Linked DNA regions of Cricetulus griseus. The protein of the gene in region 1 purifies or fractionates together with the protein of each later gene. This does not show direct contact. Links are inferred from orthologs where the notes say so. Each region holds a gene or a part of one and is shown in the gene's direction. Other genes may lie near its edges.

The links.
Region 2: the proteins of Pak2 (region 1) and Git1 purify together in Homo sapiens (affinity purification with mass spectrometry; 5 studies listed by BioGRID and IntAct, with this or other methods). This does not show direct contact. The link is inferred for Cricetulus griseus from reciprocal best matches to the Homo sapiens genes PAK2 and GIT1.
Region 3: the proteins of Pak2 (region 1) and Nck2 purify together in Homo sapiens (affinity purification with mass spectrometry; 3 studies listed by BioGRID and IntAct, counting the BioPlex papers as one, with this or other methods). This does not show direct contact. The link is inferred for Cricetulus griseus from reciprocal best matches to the Homo sapiens genes PAK2 and NCK2.
Region 4: the proteins of Pak2 (region 1) and Git2 purify together in Homo sapiens (affinity purification with mass spectrometry; 3 studies listed by BioGRID and IntAct, with this or other methods). This does not show direct contact. The link is inferred for Cricetulus griseus from reciprocal best matches to the Homo sapiens genes PAK2 and GIT2.
Region 5: the proteins of Pak2 (region 1) and Arhgef6 purify together in Homo sapiens (affinity purification with mass spectrometry; 3 studies listed by BioGRID and IntAct, counting the BioPlex papers as one, with this or other methods). This does not show direct contact. The link is inferred for Cricetulus griseus from reciprocal best matches to the Homo sapiens genes PAK2 and ARHGEF6.

What each region holds. Positions count from the first base shown.
Region 1 is NC_048597.1:57,460,627-57,464,144, forward strand, and holds part of Pak2 (serine/threonine-protein kinase PAK 2), read left to right. Parts: intron 1-609; coding exon 610-717; intron 718-2,982; coding exon 2,983-3,115; intron 3,116-3,518. UniProt on the Homo sapiens protein: Serine/threonine protein kinase that plays a role in a variety of different signaling pathways including cytoskeleton regulation, cell motility, cell cycle progression, apoptosis or proliferation.
Region 2 is NC_048600.1:90,905,055-90,908,572, forward strand, and holds part of Git1 (ARF GTPase-activating protein GIT1), read left to right. Parts: intron 1-1,309; coding exon 1,310-1,358; intron 1,359-1,634; coding exon 1,635-1,707; intron 1,708-2,203; coding exon 2,204-2,301; intron 2,302-2,667; coding exon 2,668-2,779; intron 2,780-2,894; coding exon 2,895-3,028; intron 3,029-3,122; coding exon 3,123-3,275; intron 3,276-3,396; coding exon 3,397-3,518. UniProt on the Homo sapiens protein: GTPase-activating protein for ADP ribosylation factor family members, including ARF1.
Region 3 is NW_023276807.1:4,964,577-4,968,094, reverse strand, and holds part of Nck2 (cytoplasmic protein NCK2), read left to right. Parts: intron 1-2,224; coding exon 2,225-2,946; intron 2,947-3,518. UniProt on the Homo sapiens protein: Adapter protein which associates with tyrosine-phosphorylated growth factor receptors or their cellular substrates. Maintains low levels of EIF2S1 phosphorylation by promoting its dephosphorylation by PP1.
Region 4 is NC_048597.1:94,338,597-94,342,114, reverse strand, and holds part of Git2 (ARF GTPase-activating protein GIT2), read left to right. Parts: intron 1-235; coding exon 236-299; intron 300-1,228; coding exon 1,229-1,441; 3' UTR 1,442-3,518. UniProt on the Homo sapiens protein: GTPase-activating protein for ADP ribosylation factor family members, including ARF1.
Region 5 is NC_048604.1:15,174,717-15,178,234, forward strand, and holds part of Arhgef6 (rho guanine nucleotide exchange factor 6), read left to right. Parts: intron 1-876; coding exon 877-936; intron 937-3,008; coding exon 3,009-3,155; intron 3,156-3,518. UniProt on the Homo sapiens protein: Acts as a RAC1 guanine nucleotide exchange factor (GEF).

The sequences.
Region 1 (3,518 bases):
TTTTCTTAAGTTACCTACTTGATTAATTGAAAAAGTCACGTTAAGTAAATAGAATTTTATGGGCACTTTAAAGCAATAAACTTAATAATAACTTCCAGAGCAATTTAGCTACTTCTCCAGTGTTGCCATATTGAACGTGAATATGGTGAACTGGTTTGCATATTCTCTTTTCCCCAAACCTCCTTCCAGTACCTTTCTGGGTATGGTAAACTGAGGCACATTCTAAATAGTTCACACATGTCAGCTCCTTTTCTTGCTTTATTAACTGTTGTACCTAGATCTTTTAAATGCCTCAAAATGAGGTTTTTTTACATCGTCCAGAGGGCCTTTGCTTTGGTCCAGTGAAATGGATTGCTTACCTAGGAGCTATGGATGTAGCTCAGTAGTAAAGCTATTACACCATACACAGGCCTGGGTTCAGTCCTTAGCAGAACCTCCTCCCCACTAAAAATGATACTTGCCGTACATATTCATTTACTTTTTAATTGGTTATATCAGAACCAGTGGAGTTCAGTTGTTTTTAAATGAGCTGTTGAAGAAATAAATTTACATTTTAACCTTTTAATTTTTCTGGCTTGTCCTCCTTTTTTGCTCCCATGATGAGTGCAGCTGAATACTAAGGGATCAGAAACGTCAGCAGTAGTGACAGAGGAAGACGATGATGATGAAGATGCTGCTCCTCCTGTCATTGCCCCTCGGCCAGACCATACAAAATCAGTGAGTGAAATGTTTAAAGGCCCTCGAACTTAAAATACTGCAGTATGCAGAAACTTGGTTGTTTATCAAAGCCTACTTTTTGGTGCTGATGAAATGGCTGAGCAGGTGCTTTCCACCAAGCCTGACAGCTTGCATTCAATCCCCCAGACCCACATGGTAGAGGAAGAGACCTAACTCCTCCAACTTATCCTCTGACTATCTCATGCACAGTATGGTGGGTGTGCACACACATGCACACAATAAGTAAATTAAAATGAATAATAATGACTTAGAAAAGTAAAGTCTTTTTTTTTTTTTTTAAGATTTATTTATTTAGCCGGGGGTTGGCGCACGCCTTTAATCCCAGCACTAGGGAGGCAGAGGCAGGTGGATCTCTGTGAGTTCAAGACCAGCCTGGTCTACAAGGGCTAGTTCCAGGACAGACTCCAAAGCCACAGAGAAACCCTGTCTCAAAAAAAAAAAAAAAAAAAAAAGATTTATTTATTTATTGTGTAAACAGTGTGTTCTGCCTACACGTTGCCTGCAGACCAAAAGAGGGCACCAGATCTCATTATAGATAGTTGTGAGCCACTACATGGTTGCTGGGAATTGAACTCAGGACCTTTGGAAGAGCAGTCAGTGCTCTTAACCTCTGAGCCATCTCTCAACCCCTAAATGTTTCTTTTTTTGTTTGTTTGTTTGTTTTTGTTTTTCGAGACAGGGTTTCTCTGTGACTTTTGGAGGCTGTCCTGGCACTTGCTCTGTAGACCAGGCTGGTCTTGAACTCAGAGGTCGCCTGCCTCTGCCTCCTGAGTACTTGGATTAAAGGTGTGCAACACTACTGCCTGGCCTGAAAAGTAAGGTCTTGAGTAAGCATGGTGGTGTCCATCTTTAATCGAGCATAGTAGGTGTATCTCTCTTTTGAGTTAAGAGGCCACAATTTAGTGAGTCCCAGACCAACTAGAGCTACGTACGAAGACCTAGACCCTATCTGTAAAAGCAGACAAAAAAGAAAATTACAGCTTCTTTAAAAGTTAAGAAACTTAATTTACTGGGTTTTTCTTCCTTGTTTCTCTCTTACTCTAAAGAGGATCTATTTTTTTAGCTTTCTCAATATAGATAACTATTATATCTAAAACTAGATCATTGCTGTTTTCTGAATTATGTATTTTACCTTGCTTTCAAAGGCTATGTTTATTCAAGAGGTGTTTAAGAATGAAATTACTTACCATTAAGAGAATTTTAAGAGTAAGGGCCTTAAGTAGAGCCAGGCAGTAAGAACGGGCTCCAGTACTGCCCTTCCCGCTGTGATGGAATGGAAGGCTGCCCCAGGGTTCTTGCTCCACTCAGCAACAGAACTGAAACTGATGCAGTGGTGGAAGACTGTGTTTTCTTTATGACTTAGGACTGGCTGTTTGAAAGAATATGATCACTGTTGAATTTATGTAAATCTTACAGAGGGAGGTGGTTATAGTTATCTCAACATCAGCATTATTACTCTTTTCTGTTTCTAAGCTGTGTTGGGTTCATTTTGTTTTTGTTGTGGGTTCATTTTGTTTTTGTTGTGAGCCAGGGTCTCGTGTGGTCTAGGCTGGCTTCAGTCTCGCTATGTAGCTGAGGCTGGCCTGGAATTCCTGATCCTCCTGCATCTGCTTCTCAGGCACCCAAGTATAAGTGTGTGCCCTGTGCCTGGCTGCAGGTATGCTTTTTTTTTTTTTTAATTTATTTTTACTTTATGTGTGTGGATGTTTTGCCTAGGTGTATATTTGTGCAGCACATTGTACTTGTTGCCTATGGAGGTCAGAAAAGGACATCAGATCCTTGGACCTGAGTTTCAGATGGTTATGAGCAGCCATGTGGGACCTTTGGAGAAGTAGCATGTGCTTCTTTTCATTACATTGTTCTCAGTACTTTAGATGTAGTCACACTGGAAGGAGTTTCATAGACCTATTTTGCTAGATATTTTCAAAATACATACATGCTGTGTCAAAAAAAATACATTATACATTATTTTCCTGGTTACATGTTTTGGGGAGGTGGAGTATTTGTAACAGGGTCTTATTGTAGCCTGGGGTGTCCTCTTACTTGCCTCCTGAGTGCTAGACTTACAAACAGGCACCACTATGCCTGTGTTTCTTGTGTGAGTATACTGTCCCATTCTTCAAAACAGTGGGAAAGATAACTTAGTTTGGTTTTTTAAAAAAATCAAAGAATACATTTTCTGCTACTAAGACTATCTGAAAATGGTTTTTTCTCAAGTCTCAACAATGAGCTATATCTTTTCAGATTTACACACGGTCTGTCATCGACCCTATTCCTGCTCCAGCTGGTGATTCTAATGTTGACGGTGGTGCCAAGTCTTCAGACAAACAGAAAAAGAAAGCCAAGATGACAGATGAAGAGATTATGGAGAAATTAAGTATGCAGTCTATACTTTATTTTCTTAAAAACATTTGGAACAGAGCTGGAGATAGTTGTTGCCCAGTGAGAAACACTTGCTGAGTGTGTGCAAAAACCCTTGGTCCCTGCCAGCCACATCTAAAGGACATTGTTTGAAACTCTATCACAGGGGCTTGAATATAACTTCTCAATACAAACCTATAAAAATGTTCCTTATAGGCCGGGCGTTGGTGGCGCACGCCTTTAATCCCATCACTTGGGAGGCAGAGGCAGGAGGATCTCTGTGAGTTCAAGGGCAGCCTGGTCCCCAGAGCGAGTGCCAGGATAGGCTCCAAAGCTACACAGAGAAACCCTGTTTCGAACCCCCCCCCCCAAAAAAAAAAATAAGTTCCTTATGGGCTGGCAAGATGGTTCAGTGGGAA
Region 2 (3,518 bases), on another chromosome or scaffold:
CAGGGTAGTAATGGGGAATTTCTGCCTCTGATCTCAGAGGCCCCAAGATAACCCAGGCAGTGGAGGCTATCCCCAGCCACTTACTCAGTTTACAAGACAGATGGTGGCGCCACCTAGTGGTCCTCAGAGGGCTACACCTTCATGCCAGGCAGTGCTCCCTGGCATTAGGAGAGGTTTTCCACCACAGCCTGTGCAGACAGGTGGGCTGGTCAGAACTGCCCTGTTCTAAGACCCCAAGACTCAACTCTACTTCTCTAGTCTGATCTGAGGCGGGGGGGGGGGGGGGGGGGAGAAGAAGAAAGAGAGGTGTGTGCGTGCATGTGTGTTGGAGCACACGCTTGTATCTATAAGCACCACATGCACACATGAATGTAGATTCAGGGTTATTCATTTAGCACCTTCTCAGAACCAGCAGCTGCTCTTGGGACATGGAGGTAATGCCCTTGAGCTACAATGTAGCAGTCTGAGGGGACAGCAGCAAAGAGTGCAAAGGCTTGTGTCCCACAGCATAGTGTGAGGGAGTAAGACTGGAAAGAGCCAGGTGGGACTGAACCTTGTGGGGAACTTCAGCAAGAGTGTAACCATCGTGAGGGAGTTCTGAACAGGATCTCTGCTACTACCAGGCTGTGTGACTTGAAGCAGGTTACCTAACCTCTCTGAGCCTTGGTTATCACATCTCAAAATGGGTGTGCTAATACTTACCCTTTGGGGAATGTTAGCATATTTTTTTTAAAGAAAGAATTGTGAAGAAGTATGGTCGGGGTATGTTCTTTGTATGTTACTATTGGGCTGCTTTAAGGCAGAGTACTAGCCAGGTGTGTTAGCACTCTGCCACCAGATGAGAAAGGATCTAGAGGCAAGCCTAGAAGTAAAGAGATAGACTGAGAGATTCCTAAAAGCCCAGACCAGAGAAACAAGGGCAGAATTGGTAAGCATGGCTAGGATCTGAGGTAGAGGGAGACCTGGGGTGGCTCCATATAGCTGACTGGACAGAGGAGCCAGCTGAGGAGACAAGTTCCCCTGCATGCTCTGTGTGGGGTGTGTGGAGATGTGTCTGAGCGCGTCCGCTCCTGGGTAATTGCTGCTCTGTCCTGTTCTTCCCTCTGCTGCCATCCTGGATTAGATCTCGGCAAAAGTGCATGTCTCAGAGGTACTTGCACCTGCCTGCTGCAGGCTGTAAAGCTTGGGCAAGGGGAGGCTTGGTGTGTGGCCTCAGGGTCTCATCTCCCTGAGCTCCCTGCATGCTTGGGAGGCAACCAGCAGGGACCTGGCAGTCTCTCATGTCTGGCCTCTCCTTCTTTGTCCACAGCCTGGATCTGTCTGAATTGGCCAAAGCTGCCAAGAAGAAGCTGCAAGCAGTGAGTCTGCCTCAACAAGCTAAGACTCCTTAAAGCTGCTCTCCCTAGCCCCGTCAGCCTCCTCCCTCCCTCCCTTTGATCCTGGTTCTGCCCACCAAGTGTGTCCATCTCCTGGAGGGAAAAATGGCCTGGACTCCCTTCTTCCTTGCAGAAAACCTCACCCTCCCCTCAGTTCTAAGACAGGCTGGGTGACACGGGTCATGAGCCTTCCTCCCGTCACACAACATCCTGACAGACTCTGGGTCCCCCTCCCCCCCACTCCCTCTCTGCCTCTAGCTCAGCAACCGGCTTTTTGAGGAACTTGCCATGGATGTATATGACGAGGTGGACCGGCGAGAGAATGACGCTGGTGAGTGGCAAGGAGTCTGTCCCTCAGTGAACTGAGAAGGGGAGCTGGACTGGGGCTGCTCTGAGGCCTGCTGGGTGAGCCCCTGCCATCCTCTGCTGAGCAGCGCTGAGCTGTAGGCAGCTAGCTGCCTCCCTGCCCCACCAGGCACTGGAGCTCATCTTGCTCTGGCTGCCTCCCACTTTGGCTGTCTCCCCAGCCCTGCTCCACCCCACCCCCCACCCCACCCTGCATCACTCCTTCCTGGCCACAACCAGACTCCAGCCCAAACTCTGGGTCTGGTCTAGTGGGCCCTGCCTTGTTCTGTTCGTCAGTGGGCGGGCCTCACTGGGCCTTGCCCAGCTTTTATATTCGTGGAGACCCCTGCTTCCTGAAACACTGGCCCAGTGGGAATAGGGTGGGCCTTTGGGGCCGGGGGCTCTCTGCTCTGTGCTTCTCCTACCTCTGCATGGAAGGCCTAGTCACAGTGGGTGATCTGCTCCCTGCCCCTCCCCCACAGTGTGGCTGGCCACCCAAAACCACAGCACCCTGGTGACGGAGCGCAGCGCTGTGCCCTTCCTGCCAGTCAACCCAGAATACTCAGCTACTCGGAACCAGGTGAGGGGGTATAGGCAGGAGGCCTGGGTGGTTTCCTTTCTTTCTGGGATCCCTGCCCTTCCTTAATCTGAGGCCTCCCCTTAGGGTCTGACAGGCTTTGGGGTTCGGGGAATGGGATGAAGCTATTCTTTAGCACTGGTGGGCATTCCAGTCTCCTCCTGGGGGCTCCCTGTGTGCCTTAGGCCTTTGCTGACCTGAGGCTCCACACTGCTCACCAGCCAGATGATGGCTGGGTTTGGGGTTTTGGTTTTTTTAAAAGCTATGAATAGAAAGGATGTCAGGGTCCCACTTTGCTGCTGTGGTCCAGCCCCCATGGGCCAACCAGAAATGGCCCCTCATGCTGGCCTTGCCCCTTCTGCCTTACAGGGACGACAGAAGTTGGCTCGGTTTAATGCCCGCGAGTTCGCCACCTTGATCATCGACATTCTCAGTGAGGCCAAACGGAGGCAGCAGGGCAAGAGCCTGAGCAGCCCCACAGGTGAGCCCCACATGAGCAGGCCGCAGCACTGCTGCAGGCCTTGGAGCCACCTTTGCTTGGGATCTGGATAAACAATGGCTGAGCAAGCCCTGAGTGACAGATCTTGTGTCTTCAGACAACCTCGAGCTGTCTGCACAGAGCCAAAGTGACCTGGACGACCAACACGACTACGATAGTGTGGCTTCTGACGAAGACACAGACCAGGAGCCCTTGCCCAGCACAGGCGCCACTCGGAACAACCGTGCTAGGGTCTGAACACTGTCCCTGCTGTAGACCCAGCTCCCTGTTACACATAGCCCAGAGTCAGCCTCTGCCCGAGACTGACTGGCTTCTGTCTCTGCAGAGCATGGACTCCTCAGACCTGTCGGATGGGGCTGTGACACTGCAGGAGTACCTGGAGCTGAAGAAAGCTCTGGCCACCTCCGAGGCCAGAGTGGAGCAGCTCATGCAGGTCAACAGCAGCCTGAGTGATGAGCTCCGGAGGCTGCAGAGGGAGGTGAGCACTGTTGCTTGCGGGAGCAGGAGGAAAGCATCAGAGGCTCTGGGAGGAGAGGTCATCTCTTCCCAAAGGTGGTACCTACCCTGACCCAGAGTTGGATACCACTGTGTACACTCAGATCCACAAACTGCAGGCAGAGAACCTGCAGCTTCGGCAGCCGTCAGGGCCAACACCTACACCCCCACTTCCCAATGAACGGGCAGAACACGTACCCATGGGGCCCGCTGGAAGCACCCATCG
Region 3 (3,518 bases), on another chromosome or scaffold:
CTATGCCACATCACTGTCTAGGAATGTCTGTCCAGTTCCCCCATCTCTCCCAGTTTTGGATTCCCCACTTGCTTGGGGAGAATTGTGAGGGTTGGAATAACATCCATGGCCAGGATATTAAAACACCCACCACCACACAGTTTATACAGCTGCCTCTTGGATTGCTCTGTCCCAGCAGCTGCCATGAGAGTACCTGGTGTTGGAGGCCCAAGTCCCATAAGGCTTTCTACACCTCTGGCCTTCTGGCATCACTGGGATTGTGGCCAAGAATCTTTGAAGAGGAATTTGACCTCTTGTGACAAACTACTGTTCTGATCAGAGAGATCCAAAACCCTTAATCAGTTAAGAACACCTTGATTCTGTAAAACTTCTGTGTTTCATATGCTTTGTCTGAACTTAGATGCCCTAGGCAGAATAAACCCTCCCAAATCCGTATGTTGAAATCTTGACACACACACACACCCCACCTCAAAAGTGGGATTATCTGGAGATGGAGCCTTTAAAATAGCAATTAAAACAAGAGTATTAAGAATAGTTAGGTCTGCCAGGTGGTGCACTCGGGAGGCAGAAGTAGGCGGATCTCTGTGAGTTCGAGGCCAGCCTGGTCTTCAAAGAGAGTTCCAGGACAGCTTCCAAAGCCGCAGAGAGACCCTGCCTCCAAAAACAAAACAAAAAGAAAGAAAGAAAGAAAAGGAAGGAAGGAAGGAAAAAAAAGAAAGGAAGAAAGAAAGAAAGAAAGAAAGAAAGAAAGAAAGGAAAAAAGGCCCTAACCCAGTGTGACTTGTTTGCACAAGAGCTATGACACACACAGAGAAGACTGAGGATTGCACTGAATCTGGGATTGCAAGCCAAGATGACTCTTAAGTAGAACAGAGATCTAAATTTTGACCTAAGTGTTCTGACTTGCCCTTATGTCCCCATGTACTTGAATCAGATGATGTGATCCATGCTGTCACCTTTCTGGGCCAGTGTATCCACTTTGACCAGTTTGCATTGCCTCAAATTCTCCTGGCTTTGAGCTGGGCCTGGTGGCCCCGCTGAATGATGGGGGATGATGTAGCACAGCCCTTGCGTTTGGACCTGCATGCTGGGCAAAGCCTGCTTATTCTGCAGGTTAAAGATGAGAGGGCTTAACTACCCCTGGAGGTCACTGGGGAAGAGGGGAGTCTGCCACGGGCTCCACAAAATGCTCCAAGCAGAGCTGAAGGGAGAGTGTTCCCTGAAAAACTGAGAAATTTTGCCCCCCCCTGCGGTGCATCCCCTGCTCTTAGCCAACATGCTGTCCTCCCCTAGAATTTTTTTGGGTTCTACATTTTAACTGGATCAAAAGCATGCTTAGGTTAGGGCTTCCCAAAATCACCTCCCCTCCCCCGCCCCCCCACCCCCCCTCGGTGTATGGAAAGGAGTATGTTTTACATCACAGGCCAGTGTTTGCTCACGTGTGGCTGAAGAAAGTGTGTACAGGCTAACCATGATGCTCTCTGAAGACGTTCCTCCATCCGTCGGCTTTTTGAAGCCCATTCAGTTGACCTGAGGGGTCCACTTGCAGGTTACCCACCACGAACTTCAAAGTCCTGCCTTGGACATAGTATGTCAGCGAATCTTTTACTAATTCGCTCTGTCAGTCTGTTGTAGAAAAACCAGTTCAGTGTTCTGTGAGCAAAGATGCGTTGGAAGTGGGGAAGGAAATGAGAAGGGCCAGCATGCAGGCAGGCAGGTACTAGGAGGGCAGTTCATCAGGGGAACAATGAGGAGGAGCCCTGGAGCAGGGTTACAAACTTCAGGAGGGAGGTAAGTGGATGCAGGGCAGGGTACAGCCCTTCTGGTGGTCACCTGACCCCCTGTAGCATTGCCACGGTCTTTACAGTCATTTAGTCCAACTTCTTACCCATGCAAAATTGCAGGCACCTTCTCTGCCTTTTTTTATATTTTCAGTCCTGAGCCCCAAGGGTTCTCCAAAACTGGCCATCCTTCCAGAAGAACTTTTCTGTTCTTGTTAACTTTGTATCATAGACTTATTGGCATTTGTTTATGGGTAAGTATCAGTTTTTAGTAACTTCGTATCTCTGCGGCACAGCTGTTATCATTTTCTTTTCCAGCTGGTAACTGTCGTTTGTAACCAGTCTTTATGCACCCACCCTGGGCGGGAGAACTTCCATGCCTAATAGCGTAGGGAGTAGGCATGTGCCCAGTGCCAACTGAGCCCTCTGCCATGTCTTCACAGGCCTCGGAAAGACGCGCAGGAAGCCGAGCGCTCGGGATGCATCCCCAACGCCCAGCACTGATGCGGAGTACCCGGCCAATGGCAGCGGTGCTGACCGCATCTATGACCTCAACATCCCCGCCTTCGTCAAGTTCGCCTACGTAGCTGAACGAGAGGATGAGCTTTCCCTGGTGAAGGGCTCCCGTGTCACAGTCATGGAAAAATGCAGCGATGGCTGGTGGCGCGGCAGCTTCAATGGGCAGATCGGCTGGTTCCCCTCCAACTACGTGCTGGAGGAGGCAGATGAAGCTGCCGCTGAGGCCCCCAGCTTCCTGAGCCTTCGTCGCGGTGCCGCTCTGAGCAATGGGCAAGGAGCACGGGTTCTGCACGTGGTGCAGACGCTGTACCCCTTCAGCTCCGTCACTGAGGAGGAGCTTAGCTTTGAGAAGGGGGAGACCATGGAGGTGATTGAGAAGCCTGAGAACGACCCTGAGTGGTGGAAATGCAAAAATGCCCGGGGCCAGGTGGGCCTGGTCCCCAAGAACTATGTGGTGGTCCTCAGTGATGGGCCTGCAATGCACCCCGCGCACACCCCACAGATCAGCTACACCGGGCCCTCAGCCAGCGGGCGATTCGCTGGTCGTGAGTGGTACTATGGCAACGTGACACGGCACCAGGCCGAGTGCGCGCTCAATGAGCGGGGCGTCGAGGGCGACTTTCTCATTAGGGACAGCGAGTCCTCGGTAAGTGCCCAGCTGCCCCTCTGCTGGGGCCACACTGCCAGGAGAAAGCTAAGAGTACAGTTCCCTCACCTGCAGGTTCAGGGACTCGTGCAAGCCGTGGTCCGAGGATGTTCAATGATCTCACAGTTTTCATTATAGTTCATTTGCCTGATTCAACATTGTTAAAAAGCTTACCAGTCTTACTTACAAGTTAGACTTAATCGTGGACATGGACAAAAAACTTATTTTTTTAGGGTTCTCATCTACCACGGTTTCAGGTATCCACAAGTTCTTGGAACCTCCTCAAAAACAGCCACCTATGTGGGTGACATGACCGGTGTGCCATTCTCTTGTTATATTCACTGACTATATATGTGAAATGGCACAATAGTATTTGAGGGCACATACTAAGCTAGGTAAATACTGTGTTGGCACAGGGTCCACTGCTCCCAACTTAACTTAAATCTGGGTTGGGTAGACTGAGGTCCCTGCTGCCATTCCTTCTCCTGGGTGTGGTAAGATGTGGACAGTGCCTTTGAGCTCTCACGGGTGGTTTTGGCCCTATAGTAGGGCTTCCCCTTTCCAATTTAAAG
Region 4 (3,518 bases), about 37 Mb from region 1:
GCAGATTTCAGGACTGGGGACTGTTACCAGGATGAGTGTGTTCCTGAAAGGAGGGGGACCTGCTTCATAGCTGTGCCTGCTGTCGGTGTGCTCATGCCTGCTTTTGGTGTGCACACAGCTAGCCCCAACCTAAGCCCTTCATTAACCAGGTGGAAATGGAACCCATCTGGCCTCTGAGCATTCTTTACCTCTAAATCATCTGAGCTGCTTTAATGGATTCTTCTATGTCTTACAGTTATATTCCCTGCTCAGAGAGAATACATGTTGCTGTTACCGAGATGGCAGCCTTATTCCCCAAAGTAAGTCACTTCCTACTCATCCTCTGTTAAGTTTCTCAGCATTGTTTCCTGACCTTATATTGTCTTTGGTGAGGAGCAGGGTGCTGGGATAAAACCCAGGGCCCTGTGCATACTAGGCAAACACTCTCCTGTACAGCTGTGCAGCAGCTCATAACCTTTTTCTTAAGTTTTTTGTAGCATACAGTTATTAAATACATCATCTTATAGGGCTTTGAGGTGTTTTCACTATGCATGGATATCGGTTTTAGTAAGACCTGGATGTGTAAGTCAGGTGCTACAAGGCAAAGCAGTAGAATAAAGTTTAGGATACAAAATATATATATATGATTTATTTGTTATGTATACAGTGGTCTCTCTGCATGTATCCCTGAAGGCCAGAAGAGGGCACCAGATCTCATTACAGATGGTTGTGAACCACCATGTGGTTGCTGGGAATTGAACTCGGAACCTCTGGAAGAGCAGCCAGTGTCCTTAACCTCTGAGCCATCTCTCCAGCCCCAAGATTATATTTTTAATACCTCAAAATAGCACATAATATTAAAGTTCTTCTCAAATGTAAGCATTTCCTCACTCTTAGGCCATGGTTCATAAAGCTGGTATTGTTTTAAATACCCTATTGAGCCGGGCGATGGTGGCACACACCTTTAATTCCAACACTTGGGAGGCAGAGGCAGAAGGATCTCTGTGAGTTTAAGCCCAGCCTGGTCTACAGAGCAAGTTCCAGGCGAGGCTCCAAAGCAATACAGAGAAATCCTGTCTCGGAAAAAAAAAAACAACAACAACAACAAAAAACAAAACAAAACAAAAAAATACCCAATTGAGAAAGGTTGGACTTTACTCAACTGCAGTTGCTGTCGGGGCAGGCTTATGCCTTGCTGCTGGATGTCCATCCTGCAGCCCACAGCAAACAGCTGTACTCTTCATTTTAGAAACCCAAGTCTGACACGGTGAGGACTTCCCTCCGGTTACTGACGTCCAGTGCCTACCGGCTCCAGTCAGAGTGCAGAAAGGCCCTCCCAGGAGACTCAAGCTTGCCCACGGATGTGCAGTTGGTCACACAGCAGGTCATCCAGTGTGCCTATGACATCGCCAAGGCTGCCAAACAGCTGGTCACAATCACCACCAAAGAGAACAACAACTGAACTGTGGGGCGCTATCCTTCTATTTTATAGGCTTCTGAAAGTCCGGCTTCAGTTTAGACATGAACTCTTCAGATTTTTACAAAAACATTTAATAATGATTTGAAACTTTTTAAAAGAAAACTCAGTATTATTTTTGCATGTTTTCTAACAGATTTTTGACTGTGATTTAACCATTGCCTTATTTGTGCCTGTTTGCAACTTAGCTTCTGTTCTGTTGCGTTGTCACCAAGCGCTTAGGTCATGATCGGATGTGTTTAAAAGGAATTGTTTGGAGTTTGCTAAAACTTTTCCATCCTTTAAAACTCTCTGCCCATGGCTAAAACTATAATTGATATTTTTAGTAAAACATTTTCTTAAGAGAGTTGGGTTTTAAAAAAAAATCAATGTTATCTGTTCCTTCCAAGCATTGTGCAATAAGTAGGTTTTCCATCCTGCCGTAGAGTCTCAGAGCTTGGGGTATCTCTAGGCATGTGTGGAGAGCAAGGGTCCTTGCCTCTTCCTAAAGAGAGCGAATCTCTTGGGAAGGACAGGGGAATGACCCATTTCTAACTTTTGTATCATGTTAAGTGTCGTGTTATTTAATATTTTTATCTTGATTTTCTATCTATAAAGATTTTACCATAATACTGAAGTCTCCATAATGTCCAAATAGTAGTTATGAATCCACCATCCATATCAGGTTCCAGTTGGCCACATTCACAGCAGGAGTACCACCCATTGTCAGGGACCTGCCTTCCCCTGAAGCCAGGCAGTTCACTCAGAACTGGTACTGACATTCCTTCCGTGGGTGGACACTTGGTGCCCTTCACCCTTTGACCTCTTACAGCTTCACATGTCTCCTCCTTTGGAAGGATTTCTTCCCAGGTAAGCCATCATGGTCAGTTTCTTCCCTTCACCTCACTGGTACTGAGAGATTAGACACCCTGTGGCACTGTAGAATAGTTGTCAGCATGCTTTAGCTCCTCTCTCCCGTAGCTCTGCAAGGGCAGAGGTTGACGTCTAGGACACAGCAGCCCTGGTGTTTACATTACTTAAGGCTCTTTCTTGTGAATGTTACAGCCTATCCCTATCCCAGCTTGCCACATCTGTTTTATATGGGTGGAGCTTACCTGAGAGAGCTGGCAGTATATGGCTAGGAAGCCAGCCAGGTGTACAGCCGGGCACAGAGGGAGGGCAGGTGGGGAGCCCTGCCCAACCTGCAAGGACAGCAGCTCTTTTCCCTCTGACGCCTCTCATGTTGCTGTGGAGAAATAGACCTGAGTTGCTAAAGCTTTGATTTTCAAGATAGCAGAAATTTGGGTTATTTTATGCATGTCAATTTAGACATGCCTACTGAACAAGCAGAAATGAGCTGTGGCCTCTAGGCTGTCTCTCACAGCCTCTGCTGGGCCTTTAAACCATAGCCTCAGGGCTGGCTTTAATGGCCACCAGAAGTAGCCTCTGAGCCAACCTTGGAAGGCAGCACTGACCTGCTATAAGGTCACTGTCAGTCCCCATCCCCCAGTGTGTTCTTGGGAGCAGACCGACACAGTCAGGTTCACCAGGTCAGGTTGCCTACATTGTGTGCATGGGAAGGGCCAGCACTTACCTGTCTATTCAACCCAAAACGTCACTGCTGGACGCCTAGGAGTGCCTTTCAGAAAGGGGTCTGCTAGCTTGAGCTCAGGCATCGTCTTTGACAAGCTTTTCTGCCTGCTGCTTCAAGAACTGTACCACCCTTCCTGGCAGGCTCTGTGGAGCCGATTCCAATCCAGAGCGGGTTCCCATGACCCTCCCCCTCCACCCCCCCCCCTCCCCAGACAACAGGCCTCTGTTGGAGGCTTCTCACAAGAGAAATGTTAGAGGCAAGGACCTGCCACAGAGGATACTGTCTGCGGAAAACTAAGGAATATGGGCCAGTACTGCGTTTCCAGGTGCTCTCAAGAACACCAGAGTTCACAGTCAATCCTGAGTCCTCCTCAGGCTGAGGCACCCCTCACAGAGCCCCTCCCCTCATGAGACCTGGAGTCAGAACATTTGCTCCCATAGGCAAATGCATCTTGTCTCAACTCTTGTCCTGGCCATTTTTGCTTGTGGG
Region 5 (3,518 bases), on another chromosome or scaffold:
TTGGTGAGGGAAATGGGAAATCTTACTTCAATATTGATACCTATTATGTTGTTATTAAATATAATGTTAAACAAGGAGGACCCTAAGAGAGACATGCATGGTCCCCTGAAGAAGGGGAAAGGGTCAAGATCTCCTAAGCAAATTGGGAGCACGGGAAGGGGGAGAGGGAGCTAGGAGAATCAGAAGGGGAGAAGAGGAGGGATGCAGAGGACATGAGGGAGCAGAAAGGTTAAGTCAGGGGAAGAATAGATGATAACAAGAATGGAGATACCATAATAGAGGGGGACATTTTAGGTTTACAGAGAAATCAGGCACTAGGGAAATGTCTGGAGATCTACAAAGATGACACCAGCTAAAAATCTAAGCAACAGAGGAGAAGCTACCTTAAATGCCCTCCCCAGATAATGAGATTGATGACTGACTTATATGCCACCTGATAGCCCTCATCAAGCAGCTGGTGGAAGTAGAAGCCGACACCCACAACTAATCACTGAACTGAACTGGAATCCAGATGCAGAGAAGGACATACCATCTCTTCTGGTCTGTTTACACACACACACACACACACACACACACACACACACACACACACACACTTACTTCTGCCTTATTATCCCTTTGGGGCCATATGTTCATTCCACTCATCCGTGGCAGCATCCATTTTCCTCTAATACTGTTTTTGTTCTTTATTTTCAATTATTTCTTTTATTTTTGAGATTATAATATAATTACATCATTTCCTCCTTCCTTCCTCCCTCCAAACTTTCCCATATACCCCTTCTAGCTCTCTTTCACTCATGGCCTCTTTTTTCATTAATGTTGTTCCATACATATATGCATATGCTGATATTGTTTTTAAATGTATTCCTTTGATAGGACACTCATCCGGATCATCAAGACATTCTGAAAGCAATCGTATCATTCAAAGCACTCATGGTAGGTGACACTTTCAGATTGTCATTCTCCATTTTGTATACTTTGTTCCTGAAAGAATGATTTGTGTGTAACATTTCTTTCCTTAAGCAAAGGTCTTCAGGATGGAAATAATGCACTCTCAGGACAGTAGCTCTGTGATTCTTACATTTGCTTTTGTTCTCCACAAATCATGCTTGCCTATGAAAGGTCACCAGACTGCGGGTATAAAGCAATCACATTTGAAAGTCTTGGCCACATTAAGCATTGGTGTGTAGGTGGGGGTTTCCTTTTTTTTTCTTTTTCTTTACCCCCATTGCTCACCCTATGTCATTCACTGATTGGCATCAATACTGGATTTCACTATTTATGCCAAAAGATATGAATTTGTTCTTTGCATATGAAATGGGAATCCTTCCTAACAGGAAAAACATAATGTACTAAAATGAAACTGCTTAATATAGATTGCTACCAGAGGTAGCTATAATCTTGCATCTTGAGTATCAACGTTAGCCTGTCTCCTTGAACCTGCTGATGTAAAACCTTTTGATGCCATTTCAGAAGGAAAAAATACCCTTTATTTTGAGCAATGAGTTAAATTTAGATATGTTTGACATTTCTAAAGCATTCTGTGGGATTTGAACCAATGTTTAGCTTTTGATCCTTGCTAGAAGGTTACTCCATAGCATTCAGCATCACTCCACTTTTTTTGCTTTTGAAAGATAAGTAACTGATGTGTCAGTGCTTAAAGGGAAACTAAAGATCGGGCAAGGCATTGTGATAAATTTGCACCTGTTGTCAGGCAAAAGTAGTAAAAATACCTGCAATTTTACATGGCTCAACTTCGTAGAACAGCTCACTCAAACCCATGGATGGGATAGCATTTATTGGAACTTGTACCTCTTTTATTCATTCTTATGTAAATTAGCATAGAAGGCCTTTGGAAAAGCAGCACAAGCAAACAGCACAACAAATTCAAGAGTTTGTCAGGCATGGTAGGGCATGTTTGGACACCACCACTTGGGAGACAGAGAGTCAGTTCAAAATCAGAGCCTTAGTTACATAGTGAATTTGAGGCCTGCCTGGGCCATGTAAGAGCCTGTCTGAACAAACCAAGACTAAAATACACCCCTCCAACAATGGAAAGCAAATGTGTCTTTTTTTTTGTCATGTTGTAAAACTTGCTTTGATGGTGGTAATATATTTACTATAAATACATATGCTTTAAAATCTGCATAATGTATTTATTTCTTAAAGTCTTGGTTAGATGATGCAACAGATTTTTATAGAAAAGAAATTATTCACAAAAAGTATTATACCTTCATGTGGACAAAGTAATGCAATGGACCATTTGCTTAGACATGTATTCATTTTGGAATGAGTACTGTTAAATTACTCTAAGATAACTTTACTCTTCTGAGACAGGTTTTATATCTATGTATTTCATACCCCACATAGTACTCGAAGACTGTTTCTTGATTTGAATTTCCAATGGGATCATCATGGAATCCACTTGTATCCGTGTTTCCCCAATCCCTTTGGGAATAAAAATAATCTTAGTATTTTAAAAGGTACTGTTGCTCCCTAAACAAAGTCAGGACAGTGCCATTCTCTGTTTTCAAAACTCTAACAGTAATTTTTGTTTGTTTTTCTTACCATCAAGTTGCAGTTTTGTTGGAGAGTGAGCATACATCTTACATATGAAATTAGTTTTAATTACAGTCCTATTTACCCATGGCAGTGAAGGGCTGATCACTGTCCTGGCTCTACTTGATGGGATTCTGTTCCTTGTCTGTACAGACTCTTCATGGGGAGGGAGCAATAAGCCCCTTCTTAGCACGTCATCTTCATTCCTTGGCAAAATGGAAGCTATCTCCTCTTCTTATAATGTTGGGAGGATCAAAGCTAGGTAGTGGATGTGTTTGTCTGGCAGGAGCATGGATGGCCATAGAATTCAGGGTAAGGGATAAAGAGATCCAGTGAGCAGCAAGGAGTCTAAAGCCGTAACTTATTTGGAACTCGTTTTGGGTCTGAGAACTTTCCCCACCGGTCTCACCTGAATCCTTATTGTACCATGTTCTGTTTCACATCTGTAGGGGCAGTGCCAAGAACTGCGAAAGAGAAAACAACTGGAATTGCAGATCCTTTCAGAACCTATTCAGGCATGGGAAGGAGATGATATTAAGACCCTGGGAAATGTGATCTTTATGTCACAAGTAATGGTGCAGTATGGAACCTGTGATGTAAGTCCTCAGCATTTCTTCTTTCGTCTTTCCCTTCCTTTATTTGTACTTCTGTCAAGGTCAACTGGGGTAGGGGCAGAGGGAATAGAAAATAAAGGGTAACTTTGAGACACATTTAAACGGTAATATCAACAGAAAGGGGTGGCTTATGGGATACAGAAGATGGCTGATATAATCTACACCCACTAACTTTCAAAAGACCCTGGGTGTCTGCATGTAGATGTTCTGTAAGCAGCTGTTAATGTACTATGGAAATGTAGGTGAGAGGTCGGCATTAAAGACAGAGATGTAGATGTCTCTGACAAATGTACTTTTCTAGGAAGTACATATCCAGAGAGAAGCACAGAGGTTCAAGATGGATTA